Linked DNA regions of Diceros bicornis minor. The protein of the gene in region 2 purifies or fractionates together with the protein of the main gene of each other region. This does not show direct contact. Links are inferred from orthologs where the notes say so. Each region holds a gene or a part of one and is shown on either strand. Other genes may lie near its edges.

Evidence for each region. The genes of interacting proteins can lie anywhere in the genome.
Region 1: the proteins of CUL4A (region 2) and SKP1 purify together in Homo sapiens (affinity purification with mass spectrometry; 3 studies listed by BioGRID and IntAct, with this or other methods). This does not show direct contact. The link is inferred for Diceros bicornis minor from reciprocal best matches to the Homo sapiens genes CUL4A and SKP1.
Region 3: the proteins of CUL4A (region 2) and UBC purify together in Homo sapiens (affinity purification with mass spectrometry, with the first as the bait; 3 studies listed by BioGRID). This does not show direct contact. The link is inferred for Diceros bicornis minor from reciprocal best matches to the Homo sapiens genes CUL4A and UBC.

The regions. Positions count from the first base shown.
Region 1 is NC_080740.1:53,332,558-53,339,606, forward strand, and holds the start of SKP1 (S-phase kinase-associated protein 1), read right to left. Parts: upstream 3,024-7,049; 5' UTR 2,921-3,023; intron 134-2,920; coding exon 37-133; intron 1-36. UniProt on the Homo sapiens protein: Essential component of the SCF (SKP1-CUL1-F-box protein) ubiquitin ligase complex, which mediates the ubiquitination of proteins involved in cell cycle progression, signal transduction and transcription.
Region 2 is NC_080748.1:86,944,570-86,952,328, reverse strand, and holds the start of CUL4A (cullin-4A), read right to left. Parts: upstream 3,024-7,759; 5' UTR 2,798-3,023; coding exon 2,650-2,797; intron 2,273-2,649; coding exon 2,157-2,272; intron 1-2,156. Other genes in the region: PCID2 (PCI domain-containing protein 2), read left to right, coding at 3,218-3,253. UniProt on the Homo sapiens protein: Core component of multiple cullin-RING-based E3 ubiquitin-protein ligase complexes which mediate the ubiquitination of target proteins. As a scaffold protein may contribute to catalysis through positioning of the substrate and the ubiquitin-conjugating enzyme.
Region 3 is NC_080774.1:5,852,536-5,859,503, reverse strand, and holds UBC (polyubiquitin-C), read right to left. Parts: upstream 2,448-6,968; 5' UTR 2,423-2,447; coding exon 593-2,422; 3' UTR 524-592; downstream 1-523.

The DNA of each region.
Region 1 (7,049 bases), on a different chromosome or scaffold from region 2:
CTCTTTCCCCTGACCCAGGTTTTCTAATAAACTTACCTTCTAACATGGTCTTGATAGTCACAGATTGTTTGGCAATTTCCACATCAACTTCAAATATCTCTCCATCAGAGCTCTGCAACTTAATTGAAGGCATCTAAAAAAAAAGTACTATATTGAATTTGAAATTTAAGAGATATTAGTTCTCTACATTTCATCAACTACAGTCTGTTAGAAGCCCTCTAACTTATTAACTATAAAATCCTAAGGAACTGTAGTAGATACCTCTGTAAAACACTGTAAGTGGTAATTCACAGGCCAGCATACAAGTGTTTCTATAAAATTTTTTCAAAGACTAACTCCTAGGAACAGAAGCTTTTAAGGCCTGCCCTACTGAACTCAATACTGGTATAAATTTAAGGGTTACATTCTATACTTTTGATGCAAAATAGATCTCAAATGGACTTACTTTCTGTCTGCCTTTCTGCTCTCACTGAATACTGACTACTCTCATTTGAATAGTTAACTATCACAATTAACCACCTGCAAACCTGAGGAAGGTCAGTCCAAAATAAACAAAGCAATCAAATAAGGGAGTACTTTTCCCATTGTGAGACCTAACAGTGAAAAATGCATTCAGATCCCAAAAGTAGATCAGGATATACTTATTTATGTTTGGATCAATGCAAGACCATATATAAGACAGTAAAAGATTTAAGAATAAGCAGATGTCAATCTAATTCCCTAAACCAAATAAGGAACTTAAACTTCACCACCCTTCTTATACTTCATTTCTGACTGTCCAGGTGTTCCAGTTTGAGATCTTCTGCCGAAATCCTCATAATAATAACCTATTACTTGCTCCAAAAATGTATTTATTAACTCGGATTAATTATGAGTCACCAGGAAAAAGACATCTCTTACATAAAAGTTAATTAAGCAATTAACTTCAAAGAATTTAAGTTCCGGGGAAAAAACAATAAAACCTCTTTAAAATTAAGAATTCTAAGCCAGCAATTTTTTTTTTTTACCATCTTTAGAGTCTTCAGCAGGAGAGGAAAGGGCAGCAATATGTGATTGTAAAGATTAATTCAAGACCTCTTCAAATTTTAAGTATTGCTTTTGAAGCTCCATGCTTTTCAGGTATTCATAATCCTGTGATGTCCCTATTAACTTCAAAGTGTAGAATTCGGCATTTAAAACAGTCATTGCACCCATTTTAGGTTCAAAGGCCTAAGACCCATTAAATCAGTTAAAATATTCATTCAGCTTTTCCCAGACAATTGTTTCCATCCCCCAAACAGACAAGCTGTTAGGGAAAGGAAGCAAAAAGGTAAAACTATATTTTCAAACCAGCCATTGATATATCCTGTTCTCACTACACCATGGTTGGAGAGAATCGCATTTCACTTTTCAGTTCACAAATATGTCTGCTTCTCCATGTTGCTTAGTGCTTGCCAATAATGCAGTTGTCCTGCTCAATGAAGGGCCCAGAGCAGAGGACCTTCCCTGTGACAAGGCAACAACAAAAGGCATCCCCACTAGAGCCCAATTTTTACTTAGAAAACATTCTATGTTCTTTTTATATTCCAAAGCACCAGAACGAACATTACAGAAACATGAGTCTGGTAAAGCAGTTGATAAAATTACTTTTAAGCAAGACGACCATTTCATACTTCTTTCAAATAACTCTCGATAAATAGCAAGATCTGCTTAGTCATAGTCAAATTTGTTTATTAGGTTACTCTTAAGGGAGTTGAGATCCTATTAAATAGCAAGGAGGCAATCGGTTAATCTGTAATTCAATGCACTTTGTAATCCTAGACTTAAAACTCAAAGAGAACTTTTTTCAGTGTTACACAGCTGGAATTCAGTGCAAAAATTTCAGATCACAATGGATAAAATTTTGATTTGACATGCTTTCAAGACCATTTCTCCAATTCCTTAGGCTCCTGAAATTGGAAATTAAATCACCCTCCATGGCTGGCAGGAAGTGGGTTCTATCAACATCATAAAGAAAAAAAACCTGTGTTTCAAGTGCCCTGAAATTCTGACACTTGTTTTTAGAGGGCAGAGTGGAGAAGTCTGCATTGCTCTACGACACAGATACTTTATATTGTGAAGCTCTGGTGAAAACTGCATGACCCCAAAACCCAAACCTTAAGTCTCCACTAAAAAGTGAACTAAATCAGGCAAACGTCCTATCCCTTGGAGACCCAGACGCCTCGAGTTAAGTTTTACAGAGTTGGGGCTCCTAAAAGCCACATCACTATGACGACAGTATCTGCTGTTACAATAGTTGTTTCAGCAACTCCAGGCTGTGGCAAAATAACGGAGAGAAATATTCAGAAGGAGCAGGGGGCTATCTGCAAAGATTCAGCCCCAGCACAGATAGCCAGCATCGGCAACTAGTGACGCCTGACCCAGGGGAAAGGATGGGAGCCGAGATTCCCTAGCTCCGGACTACCGTCGCCACGCTCCCTCCGACACCAAAACAACAACACGGACACACGCCCACGCTCACGACAGACAAGGGCCCTCCACTAAAAGCCCCGACGCCACCTCCGCCCTGGGTCACCGGGGCCCGCAGTCTCAACGCAAAGGGAGGCCCCAGGCCGCAGCCTGGGCCTTGCGGCCGAGCTCCGCGCCAGCGAACGCTCGCTGTGCGCAGAAAAGGCCCAATCCCGGGCTCGGCTCGCACCTCCTGCCTCCTGCCCGCCCGGGCGCCCACCGGGCGTCGCGAGGTCGCGCGACCAGAACAGTCCTCGTCGAGGGGCGGGGCGGGAGAAGGGGCCCGCCGGCACCTCCCGCAGAACGGGGTCTGCAACGGGTTCCACCGGGCCTGAGGGAAGGCCAGGCCCCGGTGCCTCCCGCCTCGGTGCGGGCACCCAACCTGCCATCCGCGGCGCCACCGCCCCTTCCAGCTCGGTCAGAGGCTACTTACGGTGTTGGGTCTCAAGGAGACGGCGGGCGGGAGGCTGACGGGGGCACAGCGGCGTCAGCACACACAGGAGAAAAGCAGACAACAAGGCCACTACAGCGACGCGGCGCGGCGTCGGCCTTTATATGGCGGGCGCAGGCGCCGAGGACCCCGGGGCCCGCGGCGTCACAGAGCCGGCGGGGCTGGCCGCGGAGATCGCCTGACGGCAGGCGGAGGACGGAGGGGCCGGGCCGGGCGGAGAGGCGGTGGCGGGCGGGCGCGGCGGGGCGGGGGCGGGGCTTCATTCTTACCCCACCCTCGAAAGCGCTGCTCGCCCTCCTCAAAGCGGGAACGAGGGACTGGTTGGGCTTCTCCGCGGTTTGCAGGGGCCCTTCAGGCAGGGTCTGTCCTAAGCCGAACTAAAGACCCCAGACGTGAAAAGCCTAGAAAGTGTCAGTGTGTGTGGAGCGGAGAGGGGGGCGTGGATGAGGTCAGGGTGCGGCTCGTCTTTCATGACGGGAAAACTGGGGCTCAAAGAAGGAAGGCAGCTGCGCTTTGCAGTCACTGCTTTGAGATTCCGCTCAGGGCCTCAGTGTCCTCTGAACCCAAGAAGAGTTAGCTCATCCTCCACCATAACCCATGAGGTGAAATATTGTTTGCCTTTTTCTCCTTTGTATGTGAGGGAACAGGTTCACAACGGTTGAGTGGCAGAGCCAGGATTTGAACCTTGCTCCATAGTTTGGTGCTCTTAACCCTCATTTCCTACCATTTATTTCTGAAGAGGCCTCCAGGCCACAAATAACCATTGTTCCAGGGAAACCCCAAGTCTTGAGAGGAGGCCTCTCTCTGGCAGTGAATATCCACTGCTTCAGCAAACGTGTATTGAGCGCGCGCGCGCGCGCGCGTGTGTGTGTCACAGTGCGGGGATTTGGCAGTGACCCAGGCAGCCAGGGTCCAGCCTGGCCAGAACTCTTGTATGGGATGCTCTCTGAAGGCTGGGATAGGGGCCACTGGAGGAATCCAACGCTAGGGAGGGAAAGGGCTAGTCTGAAAACTCCCACCCCCAGCCAGCCAGTCAGGGACTTCGCCCGCTCTCCCCTGCTCTGGCCGGGAACGCTGCCACCCCTCCCTAGGAGACTGAGGCGCCCGGCTCACCTAACCAACAAGCACGTGATGGTATTCCTGACGCCAGGGAGACAAAAGACGCTTCCACACAGGGCCCGGAAAGGAATCAGAGGCCTACAGCTCTTCTGGGATGAGACTGGGCAGGGAGGCCCAGCAGCTCCTTGGGTTACCAGGTCTTTGTCTACAAGCTGTGGTATCCAGTGTCTGCCCGGTGCCACAGCTGATGACAGGAAGATGAAAGGACCTACAGCTCTCATAATTTTTCTCTACAACACAGCCTTGCCCTCAGCAGCTTGAGCTTCAGGTCTCCTAGGCAAGGCCCACTGGAGCCCCTTTGCTCCGCTGCCCATGGCATACAAGGTAGCACCTGGTAAACTCTTGTTGAGCATCCTAAACAGGACTGGGCAGTGCCAGGTCACACATCTAGCCCGAGGACCCAGCCCAGGGCCTGTAAAGGAGGTGTATGTTTTTCCAAATATGTCTGGGGACCCGCAATATTGGAATCATCAAGAGAGGCTTGTTTTTAAAATGCAGGTTTCATTTACTCATATACGCTATTATATGCATAGTTTTCTCAGGAAAGATACACAAGAAATTGTTTGCCTCAGGGGAGGGGAACCAGGTGACTGGGGAACAGGGGTTTGGGTGATTTTTCACTTTATACCCTTTTCTACCTTTTGGATTTCGGTCCATATGAATGTATTACATATTCAAAAAGTTTTTACTTCAAAAATAAATTGGCATCAGGTCAAGAAAAATGCAGATTCCAGGGTCCACTCTTGAGCTAATGAATCAGACTCCCTGGGGGCAGGTTTTTCTGTCTTTTAAACAAGTTCTCCAAGCGATTCTCAAGCCCAAGGTAAGTTGAGAAACCTCTGTAGTAGGGACTCAGTGATGAAGCCTTGCTAAGAAGGGACCAGCAGTGTCTGTCAAAGGTGACTAGTTTAGCTCTACACTTTCTGAATCAACCGTATCCTCTTTCAAACCCTCCACTCAGGAGGAACAAGGCAGTTGTGGGACTGTAGGATGCAGGCTGGGGATCACTCACCCCCAGTCATTTATTCATAATCACTAGCCCAGGTCAGAAAGGACTGGCCCCCACAGACTCCCGTTGGTGTGTGGAGGTGTGTGTGTGTGTGGGGGGGGTGCTTCTGGTTCCAGAGCTGGCCATGAGAAGGCTGAGGTCTCATACTTACTCCAATCACTCCACACACCATGTTATCAAACTCCTTGTTCTAGAGAGGAAGGAAATGCAACCAAAGAGCAAGGACTTTCCCAGTGTCACACAGCCACTGCAGAGGAGGGCTGAGGCTCCAATCCCAGCTATGCTTCTGCCACCACAGCCCAGATATTGAATTTTAACCCTCAAATGCCAGGAATATTTTCTGATTTACAACTGATACCAGCATACTACCTCCAGGGAAGCTAAAGGCCTTGGATTGAAGCAGTCCAGGTGGCAAAATCTGTTTTTTATGGTGAATTCATTTCCAGAGGTGATCTCCCTTTGTAAACAGAGTTTCAATGCTGTAAAGGGTTCATGGGACGATTCCTATGAGGACCAGCCCTCTCAGTGCATCTAAAATTCAGTTCACACTCCCTTTCTGAGGCACCCACCCATGGGACAGACTCTGGACTCTGAATGTGTGTTCCAACCCATAGGACAGCATGTAAGCTACGAAGTAATCCCGTCCCCATGGTCAGAGATCCCCTGGCTGCACTCCACTGCTCTCTTGCTCCGCTGGTAGAGGTAAGCACAGCGACTCTATTACGTGATCTTGGGCAAGTTATTTCACCTCTCTGAGCCTCACCTTCCTCTGCTTAGCCCCTCCTTCTTCCTTTTTGCCAAACTCTAAGCCTTCCACCTAAAGTCAGACCACCATATTACTCCAGAGGAGAAGGTGCTGAATGCAAAGAAAAACAAGTCAAATTCTTAGATCTTGATTTGCAAAATGGACTCTTGAAACCCAAAGCTTTTCAGACAAGAAGGTTTTTTGGAGCACTGAAAGCCCAAGATGCTGAAGGACTCAAATCTTAAATTTTATACTAGCAACAGCAGGGTTGGGAAGAGGAGGTATGATGATGCCAGAGTCAGTTTTCCAAAAGGCTGGGAGTGGGGATGAAATCGAGGCAGAGAAGAGAGCATTGTAGTTAGCTACTGGGGTGGGTCTCTGAAAAGGGACTGTCTCCCACTCATTCCCCCTATCCCCTCAATCCAGGGATATGGAATGATTAGGACCCCCAGAAAGATTTGGGGTCTCTAAGAGTGAAGAGAATCTATCTTAGTCTGTAAGGTCTAAAGTGTTCCGTGATGAGAAGTTATGGCAGCAGTCAAGTAGAAATGGCAGCTGAGTATGCCTAGGCAGGTGGGTCTGGGAGCATCTCAGGCTTGTGCCTAATGTGTGAGGATCCCAAGGATCATCAAAATATGTCCTGAGGCCCTAAAACAGAATGGATGTTGCTCAAAGAGGAGGCAGATGACCAGGAAGGGGCTTCTGGGATGTAATAAGGGGAGCACTAAAGCAGATAAACCTGGACAGTCCAAACCAGAGACCATGGCACAAATGCAGACATCTCTTGGGACAGCAGAAACCAAGGATGACAGTGCACAACTGGTAGGGGTGAGGTCTGCCTGCCTCCCTGAGCAGTAGAGGAAGATGGATGATGACCAACGACCAGACAGCTTCCAGCCCCTTCCCCTCCCACTCCATGCCATGAGCACATAAGCTCTGCAGAATGTAGCTGTGACCCTGGATATCAGAAGAGGGACAGAACCCTCAACTTGACTGAAATGACTGAGTGATCATACACTTACTTGACTGAATTTGCCAGGAAGTGACCAGATTATATTTCTGCTATCAAATGGAAATAGGTACTATACAGAGTAATTAAGAAAATAAGTGAGCTATCATTTTGGCATACCTGAGTTTTCAGACTTTACAGTTTCATATGGCCACAGGTGCACAGGAATCATGCAGACCTGCTGCTGCCCACTTGCTGCTCACATCCTGTGGGATGTGAGTGGGATCAA
Region 2 (7,759 bases):
CTGGATTAGGCAAAGATTTCTCAAATAGACACTAAAAGCAGAATCCATAAAAGACCAAACTGATACACAGACTTCATCAGAATTTAAAACTTCTGCTCTCTGAAAGACAGAGTTAAGAGAATCAAAAGATAAGCTGTGGACTGGGAGAAAAATGCAAGACCAATATCTGGTATAGGACTTGTACCCAGAACACATAATAAACTCAAACACTCCTTAATAAGAAACTAACCCCATAAAGTGTGTGCGCTCCACTGCTGGCGGCCCGGGGTTCGCAGGTTCAGAGCTCGGGTGCGCACTGATGCACCACCTGTCAGGCCATGCTGTGGCAGTGTCCCACATAAAGTGGAGGACTATGGGCACGGATGTTAGCCCAGGGCCAGTCTTCCTCAGGAAAAAGAGGAGGATTGGCAGATGTTAGCTCAGGGCTGATCTTTCTCGCGGGAAAAAAAAAAAAAAAAAACTAACCCCATAAAAAAATGAGCAAAACATTTGAACACACACTTCATTAAAGAAGGTATATAGAATGGCAATGGGCACATGAAAAGATGCTGAATATTATTAGAGAAATGCAAATTAAAACCACAACAGAATTCCACTAGACACCTACTAGAACAGCTAAAATTAAAAAGACTGACAATAGCAAACGTTGGCAAGGACGTGGAACAACTAGAACTCTCATACACTGCTGGTAGAGATGCAAAATGGTGTAGCCATTTGAAAAACAGTTAGGAAACATCTTATGAAGTTAAATATACACTTTCCTTGTGACTCTGAAAACCCACTTCTAGATATTTATCCATGAGGAATGAGAATATATGTCCACACAAAAACTTACTTGTTAATGTTCACAGCAGCTTCATCCATAATAACCTCAAACCGGAAACCCAAATGCACATTAACTGGTAAAAAGATAACCAATTTGGTGACCCATACTGCCCACACCAGCAACAAAGAACAAATTACTGTCACACGGCGCATGAATCTCACAAGCACTATCTTAAGTGAAAGAAGCCAGATACAAAAGATTGCAAAGTGTACTGTTCCACTCAGATGAGATTCTAGAAATGGTGAAATATACTGACAGAAAGCAAATCAGGGACTGCCAAGGATTGGGAGTCAGGGCAGAAGAGTGAATTCCAAGAGGCCTCGGGGAACTTTTTGGGGCGATGAAAATATTCTCTACCTTGATTATGGTGGTAGTTATACAATTGTATACATTTGTTAAAACTTATTGAAGTATATGTTATATGTAAGTTATACCTTAATAAAGTTGATCAAAAAACATAATAAACTCACATAAATTTAAAACAAAGAAGGGAGGTATATCCATTAAACTGTCAATAGAAGTCTTCTTTGGGTAGTGGGAGTATAGGTGATTTTAATTTTCTTCTTTGTACTTGTTTGTAGTTTCCATAATTTTTAAAATGTAATCACTTATGTAAATAGAAAAAAAAATTTAAGCTCAAGTCTCAATTTGTGATATTACATTATTACCTAAAATACAGATAATATTAGCAAACGTTATTCTTTAAAAATAAAATATGAGAAACACCAGACTGCTGGTAAATGTAATATCCAAATAGTAAAATATACTTTTGAGCATTTTTTTCTCATGTTAGAAATGGAACTTCATTACTTTAGGTTAAATGTAACAAAGTCTGTATGTTTTAATTGCAACAATTAATCACAAAACACAACGAAGAGGGGGGAAAAATCTACATTAACAAGTGAAACCGTAACAAGTTTCATATATAACATAATGGAATTATAATAATAATTTGCTGCATACTTGGAAAATGTTAAGAGTCATGTAGCCCGAAAATAAAATAGAAATCCCACAACCCCCACAAAACGAAAACACTGGCTGACTCTGGGGACCTGCTGTCACAGGCCCTCCTGTCCTGCTGGAGGCACATGCTTGGATTTCCATTGGTTCCTTCGCTACTGACGCTGAAACAATCCCGAGAACCAGAGCCGGGGTGTGTATCACACCTCCCTGCAGCTAGATAACCGTGTTACTCAGCCAGCCACAAAACCACCCGGTACGGGAGAGAAAGGACGCCGGCTCCTCCGTCCTGAGGTCCTCCTCGCCAGGACAACCCCGCACTGACAGGTCAGCGGGTTGCGAGCGGCCGGCCCCGCCGCTGCGGGCTCACCTGATAGAGCTCCTCCAGGTTGTACCTGATAGACGTGCTACTCTGGATGGCCTTCACCGCCTCGTGCAGCTTCTGCCAGGTGTCCTGAGTGTAGTTGTCCGGCAACTTCGGTCTGTCTGTAAACGCAGAGAGATCAGCGGGGTCGGGTCCGCGCCAGCAGCCAGCATCTTCCAGACACTCCGCAGAAAAGCCCTCACGGGACACCAGGGCCGGGAGCAGAATCGGGCTTCCCAACACAAGGCACCGCGTTTACACAGTTCCCGGGTGCAGACCAGGCGCCCGCACGCCGCTCCACGCGCCCGGCCACGCACGACCCCGGGTCCCGGGTCACCGCCGTCCCGCCGCAGGGCCGACGCCCCGGGAGGGGACAGCAGGGAGGGGGGATCACCGGAGAGGCCCGCGGGGAGGGCACCGCGGGAGGGGACTGCGAGGAGGGGACCGCGGGAGGGCACCACGGGAGGGGACGCCCCCGCCCGCCCCGCCCCGCACCCACCTCGGAAGTTCTTGATGACCAGCTTCCTGGAGCCGCCGCCGGGCTTGGCGGAGACGGCGGCCGCGGCCAGCGACGCGGGCTTGGTGAGGCCGTTGGTGTGGCCGACCAGCGCCGAGAAGCTGCCCTTCCGCGGGGGCTCGTCCGCCATGGCCGCCGCGCTCCCTCGGCCGCCGGCGCCAACCGCCGCCCCGGCCCGGCCCGAGGAGGCCCGAGGCCCGCGAGCGCGGCCCGTCCGCGTCGGCCACGGGCAGCGCGGAACCCGCACAGTCGAGGGGCGCGGGGCAAGCCCTGTCAGCTCCGGGGGCCCGGGCGCCCAGGGGCGCGGACGAGGCGTCCTCGCTGAGGGGAGGCGCGGAGTCGCGGCCGGACGCCGGCCTGCCTCAACCCGGGCGCGCCGCCATGCCGGCCCGGCGCTCGCGCTCCCGCGGACGCTCTCCCTCCGGAACCGACGTGCGCGGAAGGCGGGGCTGGCGGGGCCGGCGGCGCGGGGCCCGGGACGGACCGCCGGCCGGAAGTGACGCATGGCCGGGCGCGCAGGCGCCGTCTGGGTCGGGCGGCGGGCGCTGCCATGGCGCACATCACCATCAACCAGTACCTGCAGCAGGTAATGCTCGCCCGGCAGGTCGCGCGGGGCGACTCTTCCTCCCCTTGGCCTGCGGGGCCCCGGGCCGGGGTGGGCACTGCGGGCCTGGGCAGCCTGTTCCGCGCCTGCCCTGGCCGCCGGACGGGAGGCCGGGACGACGAAGCGGCAAGCTCACTGGGTGTCCTGGGGCCCCCGGGTACACCCACGGTCGCGGCCCTCAGCCTGGGGACGTGGAGAGGGGTCCGAGCGGATCCCCAAGGGCCTGTTGGTCACGCTCAGGAGCAGGGGCGCGGCCGTTGCGTGGCCGTTGAAGGCCTGACCCAAGGGCCGGACTTCGAGTTTTGTTTCGGATGAACGCTGGTGGACATAGGAGATGGAGATGGCAGGTGGTCCCGCCGCGAGCCGCTGGCCACAGCTGCCGTTTAGTACACCCGCTGTGTTAGCACCTGGTATACTATGGTATCCTGGGGAAATGTCTCTCGCAGGGGTTTTGTCCATGCAGCCTGTAAACGGCAGAAGCATAGTTCAAACATAGGTATTTATGGATTCAAAGCTTGCATTCTTCCCGCTAGACTATGGTAATTCGCAGAACTAGGACCGTGGTCATAAGGATAAAGGAGTGGATTTTAAAAATATCTGAAGGAAACATTACCAGGACTTGGTGATTAAGAACTTGTGGTTGAGGGACCTCGGGAGGAGTGAAGAATGATTTCCAGGTGTCTAGCTTGGACGACAGGTGAGCAGAACAGATTCGGAGGGAAAAGTCAGTTTACTTTTGGACATGTGGAGTTGGAGGTGTCTATTGACAACCAGGTAAAGATATCTAGTTGGCAGGTGAATGTTAGTCTAACATGATTGAGACCATTAGTTGCTAGTTAATTGAGAAAGTTGTTTAAAACGGGAATCATGAAAAAAAACAGATACATGCTTTTATTTTAATTTAAAACATACAGATATACATTCACTTGCCAGTCTTTTGATTGAAGCCTTGTCTTTAAGGATAGGTCTACCTTGGCCTTATCTTTGCAGAGTTAACATTTCCCATATCAGTTTAAAGTTGAACAAGAACATAGACATCTGAAAACCAATTTGAATATAGAATCTCTCTAGAATTTTGTTTTCTCTTAATCGTTTACAATTTTCTTGCCCACACCTAATTCCTTTTTTTTTTTTGGACATTCTGTGTGCCTTGAATGGTGTCTGACCCATGTGGATGCTCAATACAATTTGTTGACTGGATAAATGGAGGCAGATAGGAGGCGTTGAGGCTCGCTTATAGGGCTGGATGGTAAAGTGGAGTGATTCGCCTGTTCTCAGACCTCCTCCCTCAGTCTAGTGAGTAGTAAGGTTCAGACCCAGGCTGGTCTGTCTGACTCTAGGTTTCATATTCTTCTGTTTCACCAAACTGCGTCTTGGTCCTATTCCCTGCATTCCCAGAGGAGCACTCAGAGAATCTCCTTTCTTGTCTGTCTTATGTGGTGAAGCAGTTGGGGTATGATGAGAAGCACAGTAATGATTAGCGCATGTTGAACGCTTAATAAGGACCAGGCGCTGTTGTACGTAGTCATCATCGCTGTTTTTCTCGGAGGTGGGTCCATTGCAAGCCCCATTTTGCATAGGAAAGCAGTGGCTTTCCAAAGTCATTGGCAAGTGTGTTGCACATTGAGACCGGGAGTTCCGGCCTCAGAGTCCATGCCCTTAACACAAAGCTCACTGCCTCTCTTAGCCTAAGTTTTGGCCAACATTTCCTGTCCTAGCTAGAACCTGCCTATTTCTGTTTCCGAATTAAATATTTTTTTGAATCTCATTGACCTTGTCAGCTTTGATACATCTCCATTCCTTATTTCACAGCTTCACCATGCCCACAGCCAGCAGCTGCCTGAAATGCTGTGTCTTTCATTCCCCATGTGCTCTGTGATAACATCCTATTATCTGTTGGGTCTGGAGTTTCATTCTACTCTCCTCATAGCTTAGGAGTTCTCCTGGTAGGTTCTTGGGTACTGGCAGAACGCACGCGATTCCTGGGTCAGAGACCAAGGACTTTAGTACTCAGCATAGCAGGCAGCACGGCAGCAGCATGATGGTATTGCGATGGCCCAGAAGGGCCCCTACACGTGCATCTGAGAGAGAAACATGGAACTTGGGGAACCCACCCATTCTATAGCAGGCTGAAAGCAAGTCTGCTTTCTGTCCAGGGTTGGGGATGGGGGGAGACATTACTTCATTTCTCAAGGTGACCAGCTGCATAAACAGCCCTGAGTAACGGCTCAAGTGAAAGAGCCAGCGGTCAATCCTTGGCAGGGGCAGAGGCCGGAGGAGGCCCTGTTGTCTCTCCCAACACCCAGCTGTAGCTAGCATGTCCCCTCATCTATTTAGTGCTCACAGTGTCAGCAGGCATTCAATTTAGTTTCTGTTTGGAAGGGACAGGTTGAATTCATTTACCTTATATTTTCCCCAGAGGTGGCTCTCTTCATCATTTCTAGTATCTTTTTTTTAGTGTCCTTTATTTCATTCTTTTGTCCATTCCACACACTCTTATTTTACATGGAAAATTACTTTTGTGTGTGTGTGTGTGTGAGGAAGATCAACCCTGAGCTAACATCCATGCTAATCCTCCTCTTTTTGCTGAGAAAGACCGGCTCTGAGCTGACGTCTATTGCCAATCCTCCTTTTTTTTTCTTCCCCCAAAGCCCCAGTAGATAGTTGTATGTCATGGTTGCACATCCTTCTGGTTGCTGTATGTGGGACACGGCCTCAGCATGGCCGGAGAAGCGGTGCGTCGGTGCCCGCCCGGGATCTGAACCTGGGCTGCCAGCAGCGGAGCGCGTGCACTTAACCGCTAAGCCACGGGGCCGGCCCCATTATTATTCTTTTTGAAGCTCAAATTGTCCCAGATTTGGCCACTGGGAGCCCCTTCAAACTGGTTTCTGTGGCTTTTTGACCTGTCTCCATCCTTTGGTCTCTGCCTTGCTTTCTGGTGCAATAATATATTCATTCCAGGCTCACTTAGTTCTTTCCCTGTCCCAGCACTAGATCAGACTTTTCCCCAAGAAGCTCTGGTCCCTTTTAGTGGAGGGTGAATTTAGAAAACAGATATGAGTGCTGGGTGTGCTTATTGCTATCAAGGTATCATTACTTCTAGGCCTTTTCAGTGGACGGAGCTAGTAAATGTATTTTTAAGGAATTAGGAGTTCTAAGAGCAGATGATTCCCCAGTGGATCAGCTTGGAGCCTGGAGGACAGGAGTTGACCAGCAGCAGCCAAGAAAGAGAACTTCCTGAGAGTACCCAGAGCCAGAGAGTTTCACCTGATGACCTCTGCAGTCCCGAGGCCAGGCCCACAGGGGTGCTGTGGACAGTCTCGCCTGGAGTGCGGCCGCATGGTCCAGTGCAAGGTGCTTAAATTAAAACACCAGGGCCAGCCCAGTGGCGTAGTGGTTAAGTTCACATGCTCCGCATTGGCAGCCCTTGGTTCGCCGGTTTGGATCCCTGGCGTGGACCTACACACTGCTTATCAAGCCACGCTGTGGTGGTGTCCCACATACAAAATAGAGGAAGATTGGCATAGGTGTTAGCTCAGAGACAATCTTCCTCACCAAAAAATAAAAAAAATAATAAAAGACCAGAAGTTCTGGGGTGTGACGTATCAACAGTGACTAAAGCCGTGACTGGGTTGCCCATGATGCTAGTGTCCACTGAGGTGCACATCCGTCTTGGAGATTTGATGCGAGTGTGTCACCATCCCTCTGTTTTCCCTCACACCCCGTGACGAGAACTTTGCAGGTTTTCTTAGCTTCCTTGAGGCAGGGGCACCAATGGGACCAATATTTTGTGATTACTCGTAATACATGAAATGACCTTTTGTTTCTTGTAAGGTAGATCCCTAGGAGTGGGATTGCTGGCTCAGAACTTAAGTGCATGTGCAGTTTTGTTGAATAGTCAAGTGGCAAATTCTTTATGATACAAATTATCTTGGAAAAGGTGTGGTAAACTTCCCCAGTCGATGCCCTGAGTGGTAAGCAGAGGAGGTGTCCTTGTGGCTTAGGCCTCCATTTCTTCTGGCCGTGGATGCCTGGGCTTTGGGTTACTGGGCCGGGGAGTAGGTGTGTGCTCCCTTTAGTAGGCGTACCTGATACTTTCCCAGAGTGGACGCACCACTTCACCCTTCCCCCAGCAGTGTGTGAGAGTTCCAGTTGCTTTATATTCTTGGCAGCACTTGGTATGGTCAGCCTTGTCCGTTTTGACTGTTCTCGTGGATGTGTAGAGGGATGCCGTTGCATTTCGCTGGTGGGTAGTGACGTGCGCACCTTCTCGTACGCCATTCCGTGTCCTTTTTATGACGTCCCTGGTCGGAGCCTTGTGTGGCATGAAATTCACAGATCTAATTTTATTGTAGGTGAATTGTACCATATGTGCAGCTTCATGCTTGGCTTTCTCTTCACTTATATAATTAGAATTTTTATGTCATTTTTGGTAAATATAATTTAAAAATATCATTTGGTTTTCTGATTACAAAGTGTCTGCTGTAA
Region 3 (6,968 bases), on a different chromosome or scaffold from region 2:
CATTTGAATCAACAGCTTTGAGTCTCTAAACAGCCACTAATTCCTAAACATTCTAGTGTAATGCCTGACAAGTACTTTTCATTTAATACACATTACCTGCCACATCCTTTAGGAAGTCTGGTCAAATGATGACTTTCTACGCAGCTCAATGTGGATTTAAATAGAGCTATGTATTAAAACTGATTCTTATACATTCTCTTCCACCACAAACACCTTTTATCATCTCCTTCCTGCTAGTATTCCAGAAACTTTCCCACTCTCAGGTACCTCACAACCATGCCCAAACTCAGTATTTTTTAAGTCAGTAGTCTGCAAGTGTCTACATATAAGTGTACATGTGGAAAGTTATAAAAGCAATCTCTAATTTCTCGCCCACTACAGTTCTACGTTAACATCATCTTTTAGTGGTATTTCTTACCTCCTGGTTGCCATAGGATTGGGTAGACCGAAAACCTTAACTCCTCACACCCCACCCTAACTAAAAAGAACCTAACTCAGGAAAAAAAAAAAAAAAATCACACTATTTGGGTATGCAACAACTTTATTGAAAGGAAAGTGCAATGAAATTTGTCAGAAGCTTAAAAGGGGGAACTTAGACACCCCCCCTCAAGCGCAGGACCAAGTGCAGAGTAGATTCTTTCTGGATGTTGTAATCAGAGAGGGTGCGTCCATCTTCCAGCTGTTTCCCGGCGAAGATCAACCTCTGCTGGTCAGGGGGGATGCCCTCCTTGTCCTGGATCTTGGCCTTGACGTTCTCAATGGTGTCACTGGGCTCCACCTCGAGGGTGATGGTCTTACCGGTCAGGGTCTTCACGAAAATCTGCATCCCACCTCTGAGACGGAGCACCAGGTGCAGAGTGGACTCCTTCTGGATGTTGTAGTCAGACAGGGTGCGTCCATCTTCCAGCTGTTTCCCGGCGAAGATCAACCTCTGCTGGTCAGGGGGGATGCCCTCCTTGTCCTGGATCTTGGCCTTGACGTTCTCAATGGTGTCACTGGGCTCCACCTCGAGGGTGATGGTCTTACCGGTCAGGGTCTTCACGAAAATCTGCATCCCACCTCTGAGACGGAGCACCAGGTGCAGAGTGGACTCCTTCTGGATGTTGTAGTCAGACAGGGTGCGTCCATCTTCCAGCTGTTTCCCGGCGAAGATCAACCTCTGCTGGTCAGGGGGGATGCCCTCCTTGTCCTGGATCTTGGCCTTGACGTTCTCAATGGTGTCACTGGGCTCCACCTCGAGGGTGATGGTCTTACCGGTCAGGGTCTTCACGAAGATCTGCATCCCACCTCTGAGACGGAGCACCAGGTGCAGAGTGGACTCCTTCTGGATGTTGTAGTCAGACAGGGTGCGTCCATCTTCCAGCTGTTTCCCGGCGAAGATCAACCTCTGCTGGTCAGGGGGGATGCCCTCCTTATCCTGGATCTTGGCCTTGACGTTCTCAATGGTGTCACTGGGCTCCACCTCGAGGGTGATGGTCTTGCCTGTCAGGGTCTTCACGAAGATCTGCATCCCACCTCTGAGACGGAGAACCAGGTGCAGAGTGGACTCCTTCTGGATGTTGTAGTCAGAGAGGGTGCGTCCATCTTCCAGCTGTTTCCCGGCAAAGATCAACCTCTGCTGGTCAGGGGGGATGCCCTCCTTGTCCTGGATCTTGGCCTTGACGTTCTCAATGGTGTCGCTGGGCTCCACCTCGAGGGTGATGGTCTTACCGGTCAGGGTCTTCACGAAAATCTGCATCCCACCTCTGAGACGGAGCACCAGGTGCAGAGTGGACTCCTTCTGGATGTTGTAGTCAGACAGGGTGCGTCCATCTTCCAGCTGTTTCCCGGCGAAGATCAACCTCTGCTGGTCAGGGGGGATGCCCTCCTTGTCCTGGATCTTGGCCTTGACGTTCTCAATGGTGTCACTGGGCTCCACCTCGAGGGTGATGGTCTTACCGGTCAGGGTCTTCACGAAGATCTGCATCCCACCTCTGAGACGGAGCACCAGGTGCAGAGTGGACTCCTTCTGGATGTTGTAGTCAGACAGGGTGCGTCCATCTTCCAGCTGTTTCCCGGCGAAGATCAACCTCTGCTGATCAGGGGGGATGCCCTCCTTGTCCTGGATCTTGGCCTTGACGTTCTCAATGGTGTCACTGGGCTCCACCTCGAGGGTGATGGTCTTACCGGTCAGGGTCTTCACGAAGATCTGCATCCCACCTCTGAGACGGAGAACCAGGTGCAGAGTAGATTCTTTCTGGATGTTGTAGTCAGAGAGGGTGCGTCCATCTTCCAGCTGTTTCCCGGCGAAGATCAACCTCTGCTGGTCAGGGGGGATGCCCTCCTTGTCCTGGATCTTGGCCTTGACGTTCTCAATGGTGTCGCTGGGCTCCACCTCGAGGGTGATGGTCTTGCCCGTCAGGGTCTTCACGAAAATCTGCATTGTCTGTCAGAACAAAACAATAAAGAAAAAATCCAAGAGTTTAACAGGCAATTCACGGGTCAACGCGTTCCTCAGGAGCAGGAGTCAAAGGTCACTGTGCCAGCCAAAAAACAAACGCCTCTCCTGAACAACCTCACGCAATGAAACGCTTGACAAATGAGCCGGAACCCATTTCAGGAACTTACCAGAGAAAAGCACGGACACCTGGCCCGGTAGATTTGGACGCCTCACTTATCTCCCCCCTCAGCGGACCCGTGTCCCCTGTCAGTCCGGCAGCGTCCACCTCAGGCCCAAACCCCGTGTCCCGCGACTCACACAAAGCTGCCCCCCACCCCTGCAGGCGGCCCCACCCCGCATTATGAGCCCACAGCGGCGCTGACGTCACGAGCCCGCTCCCGCGAGCGCGCCCCTCCCCCACAGTGGGTGCAGGACTGGCGGGAGCGGCACCCACGACGCCAAGACCCCCCGCTGCGACGAGACCAGGTTCTCGCACCAGTCAGGCGGCGAACCGCTCTCTTCACCGCAGCCGCCCCACACGCCGCCCGACTCGGCCCTACAAGTAGCCGAACTCCCCCGCGCTCGCGGCCTTCGCGGTTTCCTTCACCCACGACCCCCCATCTCTCTCCAACCTCCTGGCCCGCTTCCGAGTCCCGCTTCCCCCGACTAGGGATCGGAAACAGCCGCCATCTTGCTCGTTCCTCCCCCCCCCTCACGGCTGCCCTGCTCGCGGGCCCCGGGAACCTGAAAGCCTCAGCCGCCCCTGTGCCCGCGGCGGGCAGCGCGGCCTCCCCGCTAGCCCCTGGCCCGCAGGCGCAGGGCCACCAGACCCCCGGGCCGCCACGGCGGCCCCTACTCACCAAGTCGCGGTGCCGGCAGCGCACGAAGGACAGCAAGAACCGACCTCCTAACCTAGACCGATCTGCCTGCACCACGCCCGGGGCTTCATTTATATAGCAACGGTAGCCCCGCCCCGGGGATCCCTCCGCAGAAAGGCCGAGAAGGGACTACTTTTCTCAGCCCTTCCTGCTGCCTGGAGAGAAAAATAGTTCCCCGGAACCACCTAATCGCCCCCCTGAAATGTTCTCCTGTTAATACGGGGACTTTGGGGTTGAATCGGGGGGCCGGGGGGGGGGGGGGCGCTGTCCTGAGAGGCCGGGCGGAGGGATCACCGCGTTCTTTGCGCGCTGCGTCCGCGGACGTGGCCAGCGCTCGATGGAGGGGGCGGGGGAGCGGCCCCCGGGAGGCGCGAAAACCCGGCGCGGAGTCTCCCGGGCCCCCGGAGCGGGCTGTCCCCGCAGCCCGGCCCCGACGCCCCCTCCCCTCAGCCCCAACGGTCACGCCGGCCACGGGACCCGCCCCTGACGGCCACGGCTCAGGCCGAGCGCCTCATGCAGAGGCGGGGTCCTGCTGCCCTCTCGCGCACCGCGCCCTGCCCCTCCCCCCCGCGACACCGGGGGTCTTTCTTTCGGGTCACATTTGAGATAATAATCGTGTTTTTGCTTCACCAAACTCCCCTCACTCCGGGCCGTGGCGGGGGCTCCCCGGGGCCCCCCGGGCCCCAGCCCTCACTGGTGGCGGCCGGGCCCATCCCCCCCAGGCGGGCACCGGGACAAGGCGAATGACTCGACAGATCTTGGCTCCCGCCTCAGACGCCGGCGTCTGCGCAGGAGGAGCAAGAATGCCTCAAAACAAACGGGCAAAGCGTGCGTTTCCAACGGAGAAATGACTGTGGCGTGTCTGCCTTGAACTGGGAGAAGAAAGGCAGATATTCCACACAGCTTTGTCAGACTACTTGAGCTGGACCTGAAAGCTGACAGAACTAGATCTTTCTAGATTGTTCTTTAGCTTTCCTGTTTAATCTGCGTGGCCTTGGGTTTGAGAACTTAGTGCTTGATTATAAACAAGGAGGGTATCAGAATTTCAGCTCTGTCGACATTTCGTTGGACTCGGAAGTTGAAGCTATTTAAGCCTGAGATTTAAAAAGACTAATTGAATCTCAGCTCCATGTATTTCCGGGGAGAAAAAAACATTTCGATATCCCAAATATGAAATTTAATTCTAGAGACAAATTCCATTTTGATATAAGAGGAGAAAAAGGCTCACCAGCCAGATCTTTTTCATTTTTACGACAGGCTATTTTGTGATCTCGATGTGTCATTTCTTCAGCGCATTTTTAAAATGTTTTAAAATAGGTGAGCATGGTGAAACTTTAAAACAGGTTTTTTTTAAGTTTGCAGTCTCCCTCATGCCGTCAATTCTCCTGCCACTGTTCCTTCTGGACTCTTCTAGAATTATTCCCTATTTCTACAAATGGGGAGGGGGGAAAAAGATTTTAATTTCTACCTTTAACGCCTTGAAGAAAAAAATAGAAAAAGAGGCAACTGACCGAAAAATGTTCTGCCATTAGGAAAAGATTACATTCCTGTTTAAAATTATGAACATTGTTTAAACATTATACTTAAAATGTGAATGAAAATAAAACTATTTTCTTCAGTAACCCATGTATGTATGTATGTATGAAAAAAGTCGGAGTGTAAGTGAGCGTAAGTGAGGCCATGTGGTTACGCTAAAATGGCCCCAGCCCCTCCTCTGTGTGACTACTCGTTCTGCACGTACTCTAAAAAATTCAAATGCTCTCCTGATTTATGGCCTCCACTCAGGTATGTACTCCCCAATAACTTGATAAATTAAAAACTTTGCTCTATGAGTTTCTCTCCAGGAACAGGCTGACCACAGGCAGGGACACACCTACAAGGTATCCATCACAGCTGACAGAAGAATGGAACAATGTGATGCCTGGAGCCCATCATGCTTGGAGTCCAACATCCCTGGACCCCCCCACCTTACTGCCCATTTTACTGCCTCAAGATTCTGTAATCTTTGAAGATGGGTCTTTGAGACATTAGTCACCTGTCTTCCAGTTTACCGGATAATCTAATTAAACTTCGTTTCTCGATCTCTAACTTGTGATTAATTGGCCCAGATCTTAGCGAGCAGAGCGAGCCCATTGCTTGGTATCATGAGCAGTGTTGCAAATAGACTTCAACCTCTAATTTTTAACATTTTTCTAAGAGAATGAATTTTATTACTGGAGAATTAAAATGAATAATAAAAATAAAATTCATTTTTCAGGTTAGCAGGAGACCCTGGTGACTGCCAATACAGATTTCTGTGAAAGATATTTCTTTCTAAGTTTCTGGAAAGAGATTTTAAAGGAACAAAAAGTTGAGGCTCTTAATAAGATTATGTCTCCCTAAATTTCAGGAAGAAGTTTCTAAAGGAAGAAAAACAGGTTCTTTCTCAGATGATCAGGACTCACTTCAAACTACACCTTGTTTGCTTTTGGCTGTTGCTTTGCTGCAAGCCGTGTGATTCATGTTGTTTAAAGGCTGAGTCACGAGCTTTGCAACGTGGCTTGTCTCAGAGTCCAAAAGGTACAGAGAAAAATAGGCCTGATTTCTGAGGCAGAGGAGGAAGAGGAAGAGAGGAGGAAGGAGAGAGGCTCAGAGGGTGGGGAGTGGGCCGAAGGTTATCTCCAAAGAGAAAACAACATTCTTAGGCTGAGAACACTGATTTTTTCTCTAGCAGAAAACATTCTCTGAAACACCCTTGCATCCCCTAATCTAAGTCCAATAAGTAGGTTTTTGTTGAAGGAAATAGAAGTAAACATTTGTCCAAGGGCACAGAGTGAGAGACGGGAGGAGACACTGACCTCCCAAGAGAGGGGCTGCTGTTTCTCTGGAGCAGTGGCTCTCAACCAGGAGTGATTTTTGCCTCGGTGGACATTTGGCATTGTCTGGAGACATTTTTGGTTGTCACAACTGTGGTGGCTGAGGGTAGGGGTGCTACTAGCATCCAGCGACAGAGGCCAGGGATGCTGCTCAACATCCTACGACGGACAGGCCCCCACAACACAGAATTTCCCGGCCCCCAGTGTCAACAATGCCCCGGTGAGAAACCCTGCTCTACAGAGGATTTTGTTGTTGTTGTCACAATTGCTTTTCTACTTGCTGAGAAGGGCTCCCAAAGTCTAAATGTCCCACTTGGAATCGGGAATCAGGTATCAAGTCACGCTCCTAAAACCTAAAGCCCTCTGACCTAGAATGCAATGTGCTAGAATGTGCGAGAAGCCGGATGAGTCACTGGATCCATTTTCAGTTCTTTCCGCCCACAGATCCGTCCTTTGCAGGCGCCCCAGAAGAAATTGCTTCAGAGCTGGCACCAATGGAAAAGTGACAGAGGCCCAGCAACAGGGCGGGATTGGCGGGCAGACGCGAGCACGTGATGGGCTGAGCTCACAAAGGGCCTGGCTGTTGGGCTGCTGGGGGGAGGGGAGGGTTGGGCTGGTGCCTGTCTGCCTGCCTGCCTTTCTTCCTTCCTCCAAAGGATCCAGTTCCCCTGAAGGTCACCACCTTGTATGGGACTGAGCTCAACATCATGACAATGTTCCAGAGCACAATGGGCAGCAAACATTTTCCCCCCAAGAGAAAGGGTGAAATCAGAGAGCTGGGTGGGAAAGGCCTGCCTTGCTTTGTCATCACTTATA